Coturnix japonica: one gene and its partner. The protein of the gene in region 1 binds, or shares a complex with, the protein of each later gene. Links are inferred from orthologs where the notes say so. Each region holds a gene or a part of one and is shown on either strand. Other genes may lie near its edges. The genes, in order: RAB11FIP2 and RAB25.

The links.
Region 2: the proteins of RAB11FIP2 (region 1) and RAB25 are in contact, whole or in part, in a crystal structure (PDB 3TSO), measured with the Homo sapiens proteins. The link is inferred for Coturnix japonica from reciprocal best matches to the Homo sapiens genes RAB11FIP2 and RAB25. Residues at the interface, in NP_055719.1 of Homo sapiens: Arg475, Glu478, Ile481, Asp482, Asn483, Leu485, Val486, Met489, Pro493, Ser494, Leu496, Arg497, Val498, Pro499; in NP_065120.2 of Homo sapiens: Arg34, Ile45, Gly46, Val47, Glu48, Phe49, Ser50, Thr51, Lys62, Trp66, Arg73, Arg75, Ala76, Ile77, Ala80, Tyr81.

The regions. Positions count from the first base shown.
Region 1 is NC_029521.1:26,280,258-26,284,070, forward strand, and holds part of RAB11FIP2 (rab11 family-interacting protein 2), read right to left. Parts: intron 2,788-3,813; coding exon 2,702-2,787; intron 2,201-2,701; coding exon 2,086-2,200; intron 1,651-2,085; coding exon 1,605-1,650; intron 1-1,604. UniProt on the Homo sapiens protein: A Rab11 effector binding preferentially phosphatidylinositol 3,4,5-trisphosphate (PtdInsP3) and phosphatidic acid (PA) and acting in the regulation of the transport of vesicles from the endosomal recycling compartment (ERC) to the plasma membrane.
Region 2 is NC_029540.1:80,624-84,536, forward strand, and holds the start of RAB25 (ras-related protein Rab-25), read left to right. Parts: upstream 1-1,701; 5' UTR 1,702-2,140; coding exon 2,141-2,180; intron 2,181-2,481; coding exon 2,482-2,677; intron 2,678-2,856; coding exon 2,857-3,050; intron 3,051-3,135; coding exon 3,136-3,216; intron 3,217-3,913. Other genes in the region: UBQLN4 (ubiquilin-4), read right to left, coding at 1-113; ragulator complex protein LAMTOR2, read left to right, coding at 342-409, 524-686, 1,079-1,168, 1,407-1,463. UniProt on the Homo sapiens protein: The small GTPases Rab are key regulators of intracellular membrane trafficking, from the formation of transport vesicles to their fusion with membranes.

The DNA of each region.
Region 1 (3,813 bases):
CCACTTAAGCAGTGCTGTCAGAGACAGGTGTTGGCACCAGAGCAGGAGACACACAAACATAATTACTCAATGCGATGCGCAAGGAAGAAATGCAATAAATTGGTGAGGGTTATTACAGCAGAACCCAATAATAAATTACCTCAAACACCTCAGAAAGCAATCTGGAATATTTAAAAATATATATATTCAAATGGTTTCATTCAAAACTATGGTTGTGATGTAGTTTCTTCTCCTAATTTTATTTTGTATTAAATGAGCACCACATCATAATCCTGCGGCTGACATTTAGAATAGCTGCTGTTCCGAAAGAAAAATCATCAAGGATTTCTTTTATCACCTTTAAATCCTTTAAATAAAACAATTCACATATTATTTCTTAAAAAGAATCATAACGGCGCTTTTACCAGCAATAAATTACACAATTTCCAGTAGCACATTTGCAAGCACATAGAAACTGTAATTACGGCCACTTTACAGACAATAGCTGCAAAGTTAAATCAATTTTTTTTTTGATGTGTTTTGTCAGAGATTAAGTAACCGCCTGGTAGAATTCAGTTTACTATCTGATCAAAGGCAGCATTCATATACGCTGACATCTCCCACCAGTTACTTGCATTAAAAAAATCTTGGGTGTTTATAAAAACATCAAATATCATTAAAGGACATTTACATAAACCAGCCAAAAGCAAATAGTACAAAGTCATATTTCCCTGTGAAACTTGTTTTCTATATATTGTAAAGATTGAAAACAAACCCACTCTTAAAGATTTGATCTATTCACAGAATAAATTTGAGCAAAACCACATTTTTCTTCCAAAGATGCTGCACAGACCATCTGTGGAGTTTGTTTTGTCTTTTCTTCCTAGTACACATTTTTAGCTACTCTGACAGTAAAAGAGTATTTTGAATAATAACTTTTAGTATTAATTTCTATTTTAAGTGTTTCTGCAAGGCTGCTCATTTATTATTTTTGTTATGAATCTCACCACGTATCAGCTCATTACTTTCATTTGGATGAACCAGCTAAAAATGGTCCTCCAGTCTCAGAGCCTGGTGAAAGGAAACACCTGTTATGATGGCTAATGGAACCCGCCTAGTGCAGGGCTCTCACCTGACTGCATTTCTCTAGAGCTATCCATCATACCCCAGTGTTTCTTATTTCTCTCCCTGTACAGATCTAATTTTCCCTTTCTTTTCTACATTGTAATACTAGAGGTTATCCAAATATTTTACACATTAAGCATAAAACTCTTCTTTATTTCCAAGTTCATTTCAGTTTTCTTATTTTCCAATTAGATTTTCTGGAAGGCAATAGGCGATAGAAGGCAAGACAAAAATCATAGACTCATAGACTGGGTTGGGTTGTAAGGGACCCTCTAGGCTCATCAAGCTCCAACCCTTCTGCCACAGGCAGGGCTGCCAACCTCCGTATCTAAAACTAGACCTGGCTTCATCCAACCTGGCCTTGAACACCTCCAGGGACAAAACAAACAAGCAACAAGCATTTCCTTATAAGAAATTAAAAAAGAATAGTAGCTCATATTGTATTGGGCACCAGCTAGTTTGTATTTGCTGACAGCTTTTCATAACACTCCACAACTTACCATTGTTTTCCTGAGGTCCTCAGTGCCAGAAGGATTCACGTTAAAACTGTGGAGGAAAAACAAACTAACATCAACTGTGTACACTTATTTGGCCAAAACTTCTACTAGAAATTACTACTGAACTCAGAGTACTGGCTGCACAAGGTAATTATTACCATTTATTTTCTTGACTTGTCAAACTTAGAATAACTAGGACAACCCTTGAAATTCATACAAACTTTCATATTTGTGTGAATATGTGAATATCTCTATTCACAATTTTTGATATCATTCTAATATATGTTCACAGTAAGCAGTACAAAGATATTACAGATTGGTCTAACCCTAGCAATGCTGCCATGGCTCACATAGTTGCTATAGCAAGTTTTGAGAGAAAACTGAGTCTTAGAGAAAGTGTGCTCAGAATTTGGGTATGACTCACTAATAGTAATTCCTCAGTAGCACCTTAGTAGGCATCTTTCTTTCACATCACAAAAACTACCATGTACTCAGGTTGCATGTATTGGCTGTCAAGGGTGGCATCTGTTGACAGAGCTTCAAGAAAACACATCTCTGGGTCTGGCTGCACCCAAACTGGTAACAAGCTCCTGCAAATGCTATGACAGGCAGTCAGAAGCTCATTTCTTTCCTATTTTTCAGGCTAGAGAATCTCTATGGCCTAAAACTAATGTTTAATTCCACAGTCAAGAAGCTGATACATGAATAAAGACAAATTAGTAAAAAACAAAAAAAACAAAAACAAACAAAAAAAAACCCTGCAATCTATGGTTGAAAAAATAATTTGGAAAGTACAAATTGTACACTTTTAATTTTAAAGGTAGCTTGAAGTAAAAAGCACGTGTCTTGTGCCCATCACTCTTTGATATCTGAAATTATAAGCCATATATTTCATGGCGTAAAAATGGAAGAGATGCAGCATACAAACCGATGTTTTACTATGTCCTTTTATTTCATTTCAAAAATAGTCTTTCCTTCATATATAGTAGTTCAGAGAACCATCTGCTAGACTGAAGATATTAGAGGAAGATTGGATTACAGTCACAACCAGAAGTAAAAAGGCGTCTGGAGAATCGAGGTCTGGCTAACCCCCATTGTACCTGTTTGTAACAGCGATCTGAAGCACTCTGCCTGGAGTTTGCTGGAGAATAGTTTTGAATGATGGGCTGCATTCATCGGGTATTGTCTAAAAAGCAAAAAGGCAGGAACCCTCCCTCATGGTCTGCATTTTAGTTTCACACTGATGTGTCAAACACATGATGAACTTGCTTCATTCATGGCTGCCTTTTGTGATCCCAGGGAAAAAAAAAAAAAAAAAAAGAGTTAACTGAACTGGATCAAATTAGCTTGGTGAAAACCAAGAATGTCTCTATTTAATGAAGTGTGGCGTTAATTTGGGATATCTTTCTTTTGGGACTGTTTCCTCATGTTAGACAAGATATGGAATAATACAGCCTGACTGCTCAACTAAGCGAGCTTCTGAAAGGTTAAAAAAGCAAAATCTTTCATTGCGCTGAATGACTTTCTGTGCAATAAGTTCTGGGACTCCCTTACACAGCAGCTGCTTAAAAGGAACAGTTCTGCCTATGAAAAGTTATGCTTCAAAATTAGAAATATAAATCACTGGCAATATGGATTAATCTTTTATTTTCATCTAAAAACTCAGCAGTCACTTCTGTAACACTACGAGTGCAATTACAAAAGAGCACATCTGTGTGTTTCACATGAAGTAATCTGAATATCCTTACAAAAAAAAAAAAATAATGCTAAAAAAACCAACAACAAAAAAACTTATTAAACAGAATATTCACCAATAAAACCCCAACCCTACGAATACTCATATTTTAGAGAGATATGAAGAAATATACTGCTTCTCAGTGAGGCAGGAAGAAACAGGTGCTGGGATTGCATGCAGCATGTTTAAGTCAGCCTGTCCAACCAACCAACGTGGGAGCTCCGCAGCCCCACCGAGCCTTGCAGGGTTTCCTGCCAGCTCCTCCAGCCCGAGGTGAACGTGAGCCGTTGCAGACTCTCCCAGCTGCACCCATAACTCACTGTCCAAGAGCCCTGTAATGCCTTGAAAGAGCATACTGTAAAATTATGAATGCATGCAGTTGGGGGAGTTGCAGATACTGTGTATTGAAATTAATGACAGTAGAGTTTGTTTTCTTTTTTTCCAATTTAAATTTCAACACAACGTTACATCCCTGAT
Region 2 (3,913 bases), on another chromosome or scaffold:
ATCTCCTCCTTGTCCTTGGGGGTCTTCACCGTGACGCGGATGAGCGCCCCGCCGGGACCTCCCAGCTCCGACCCGCCGGGGCCCGGCCCGCCGCCGCCACTCGGCTCCGCCATCTTCGCCGCCCGCCCCGCCAGCCCTGGCCGACAGAGAAAGGCCGGGACAGAGCGCCGCCACGGCCCGCGCCGCAGCACAGCGCCCCCTGGCGGCGGGGAGGATCGAGAGGCGACGGAACCGGAACCGGAACGGAGCGCGGAACCGCCCCGAACGGAACCGAACGGCAGCAAACACCGAACGGGGGCGGCCTACACCGGGAACGGGCCCCGCGCCCCGCGCTGCCTGCCATGCTGCGGCCCAAAGCGCTGACGCAGGTGCTGAGCCAGGCCAACACCGGCGGCGTCCAGAGCACGTTGTGAGCGGGGACGGGGCCGGGGGCGGTGCGACCGTACGGTCATTGCGGTGTGATGTGACCGTACCGTCACGGCGGGGCTCGGCCCGGAGCTGACCGTTCCCCGCTCCGTTGCAGGCTGCTGAACAATGAGGGCTCGCTCTTGGCCTACTCGGGATACGGAGACACGGACGCCCGCGTGACCGCGGCCATCGCCAGCAACATCTGGGTGGCCTACGACAAGAACGGGCACCACGCGTTCAACGAGGACAACCTGCGCTTCATCCTCATGGACTGCATGGTACGGAACGGCTGCGGGACCCCACGGGATCCATGCGGGACCCCCGGTGTGCGGGACCCACAGCAGCACCCACAGTGGGATCCGAGGTGTTCAGCAGCAGCTTCTGTGTGGGAGCCCAAGGGGTCCGTGTGAACCCCATAAATCTCAATGTGACCCCATAAATCTCAGTGTGACCCCATAAATCCCAATGTGACCCCATAAATCTCAGTGTGACCCCATAAATCTCAGTGTGACCCCATAAATCTCAGTGTGACCCCATAAATCCCAATGTGACCCCATAAATCTCAATGTGACCCCATAAATCCCACTGTGACCCCATAAATCCCACTGTGACCCCATAAATCCCGCTGTGACCCCCTGAATCTCCGTGTGACCCCGGTTCTCTCCGGCAGGAGGGGCGCGTGGCCATCACCCGCGTGGCGAACCTCCTGCTGTGCATGTACGCCAAGGAGACGGTGGGATTTGGGATGCTGAAAGCCAAGGTGAGGGGATGGGGGTGAGGGGATGGGGGTGAGGGGGTGGGGGGCTGCATTACGGTGAGGTGTGAAAGAGCCACGGGGTTAAAGCCGGGAGGAAGAGGATGGGAGAGATGGGGGAGGAATTGCAATCAAAATGGGAACTGTCTGCGTGGGTCCCAGATTGGTGCTGGGGTGGGACGGGGGTTTGCCCACAGAATGTGGGCGCTGGGGGCTGCACCCCTCACCACCATCCCTGCCCCAGGCACAGGCGCTGGTGCAATACCTGGAGGAGCCGCTGACGCAGGTGGCCGCATCCTGAGCTGCATCTGAGCTGCATCCTGAGCATGGAACCGCGCTGCCACGGCTGAGAGCAGCGCCTGCACGGGGGGAACCGTGTTGTGAGCCCGGCTGTGCTGCTGGGCAGCAGGGGAGGGGAAATAAAGCCACGTGTGGTGCTCGTGTCCTGAGTGTCTGTCAGATCAGTGCAGGGTGGAAGGGTGGGACGGGGTCAGCCGTGCACCCAGCCAGGGGTCTGTGGTGCAGCTGGGAGCGTTGTGCTGTCCCTGCTGGGGCTGCTTCCCCCACGTTCCCATCTCTCTGTGCTGGCAGCAGAGGTGCAGGCGGCCGTTGGTGCCCGGCCAGCTCCATGCTGAGCCCAGGGCCCCAGTGCCCCAGGCTGCCCCGCGCCGCGTGGCCTTGGCAGCCAGGACCGGGCCCGGCTCCTCCTCCAGGTGCCCCGTGACGGTTCCAGGGGTGACATTACCTGCCCAACCTGCGCTGCCGCTCCCAGCCTGCACTCAGCCGCCCTGGGCCTCCCTGCGCCGCCCGCGTCGCCTTCACTCCCCGACCGCGCTCCCTCCTGGGACCCCCCTCACTGCTGGGACCCCCCTCACACCCCGACACAGAGGAGACTTTGCCCCCCTCACCACCCCCTGCAGCCCGCCCCGCTCTGAGCTCTGCGGAGGGAAGGAGGAAACCGGGCGGCAGCCGGGAGATATGAGCAGCACTGAGGACGACTACAACTTTGTTTTTAAAGGTGAGGGGGGCCCAGAAGGACGGGATGGGACGACGGGGGGGCCCTGGCTGCACAGTGCCCTCCCCAGGCTGTGGGTTCCCAAAGCAGGACAGGGCTGGGGCTGTGCCTGCAGCCAACACTGCAGAGGGTCCTCCTCCTTTTTCTTCCTTTTCTGTAAGGCTTTTCTGTAATGTCCCCATGGCACTGGGGACATCCCAGTGCTGCAATGCCACAGCGGTGGGATGCCATTGGGTCTGGTTGAGGCAATGAAGGGTTATCTAAGCTGATCTGAAGTCCAATGGGATCCCTCTGCCCCCCTCAGTGGTTCTGATTGGGGAGTCCGGCGTGGGCAAAACCAACCTGCTGTCCCGCTTCACCCGCAATGAGTTCAACCACGACAGCCGCACCACCATCGGCGTGGAGTTCTCCACCCGCACCGTCCTGGTGGGAGACGCCGTGGTGAAGGCACAGATCTGGGACACGGCCGGGCTGGAGCGGTACCGAGCCATCACCTCTGCGTAAGGATGGATGGCACCCGAGGGTGTCCCTGGATAGATGGGTGCCCTATGGATGGATGAATGCCCTATGGATGGATGTCCCATTGCGTGCCCCATGGATGGATGCCCTGTGCTCACATCCCTGTGGGGATGCTCCAGGGCTGCCTGGAGCACGGGGCGATGACAGGCTGCTCCCCCAGGTACTACCGTGGGGCTGTGGGTGCTCTGGTTGTCTTTGACATCACCAAGCACCAGACGTACGACGTGGTGGAGCGCTGGCTGAAGGAGCTCTATGACCACGCCGAGGCCAGCATCGTGGTCATGCTGGTGGGCAACAAGAGCGACCTGGCGCAGGCACGGGAGGTGCCCACGGAGGAGGCCAAGATGTTTGCAGGTACAGCGTTGTGCCACCCCAACGTGGGGACCCCGGTGGGAGCCCAGCGGGGTCTGCAGGGTCCTGGGGTCTGCTGTCCTTGCAGAGAACAACGGGCTGCTCTTCATTGAGACGTCGGCGCTGGACTCCACCAACGTCGAGCAGGCGTTTGAGACCGTCCTGAAGGGTGGGTGCTGGCTGTGGGTCCTCGCTGGGCTGTGGGGCAGGGGATGCTCCACGCCTCTCCCCCGCCCTGCCCCACCTGAGTTTCGCTGTTGTCTTTCTGGCTGGTTGGGTTTCCGGCGCTTTGTGCTGGGCGTTCCGCTCTGGTTTCATTGCTGGGGCCTCAGGCGGCCCCACAGGTGCCTTCATCCCCTGTAATCCATGGTCCCGGTCCGGATGCTCCTGACTCAGTGTGTCCAGCTCATTGCAGAGCAACCCACAGGGACGTGGGGCAGAGAGGGGCAATGCTCAGCCGGGAGCATCTCCCCAGGAATGGATGTGTAGGGCAGGGGCACCGCAGGGAGTGCTGTGCTGAGCCGTGCTGTGCTGAGCCGTGCTGTGCTGTGCTATGCCATGCTGTGCTGTACAGTGCCATGCTGTGCTGTGCTGTACCATACTGTGCTGTACGGTGCCATGCTGTGCCGTGCTGTGCCATACTGTGCTGTACAGTGCCGTGCTGTGCTGTACAGTGCCGTGCTGTGCCGTGCTGTGCCATACTGTGCTGTATAGTGCCATGCTGTGCTGTGCTATGCCATACTGTGCTGTACAGTGCCGTGCTGTACCATACTGTGCTGTACGGTGCCATGCTGTGCCGTGCTGTGCCATACTGTGCTGTACAGTGCCGTGCTGTGCCGTTGGCTATGCCTATCTACGTTGCTGTA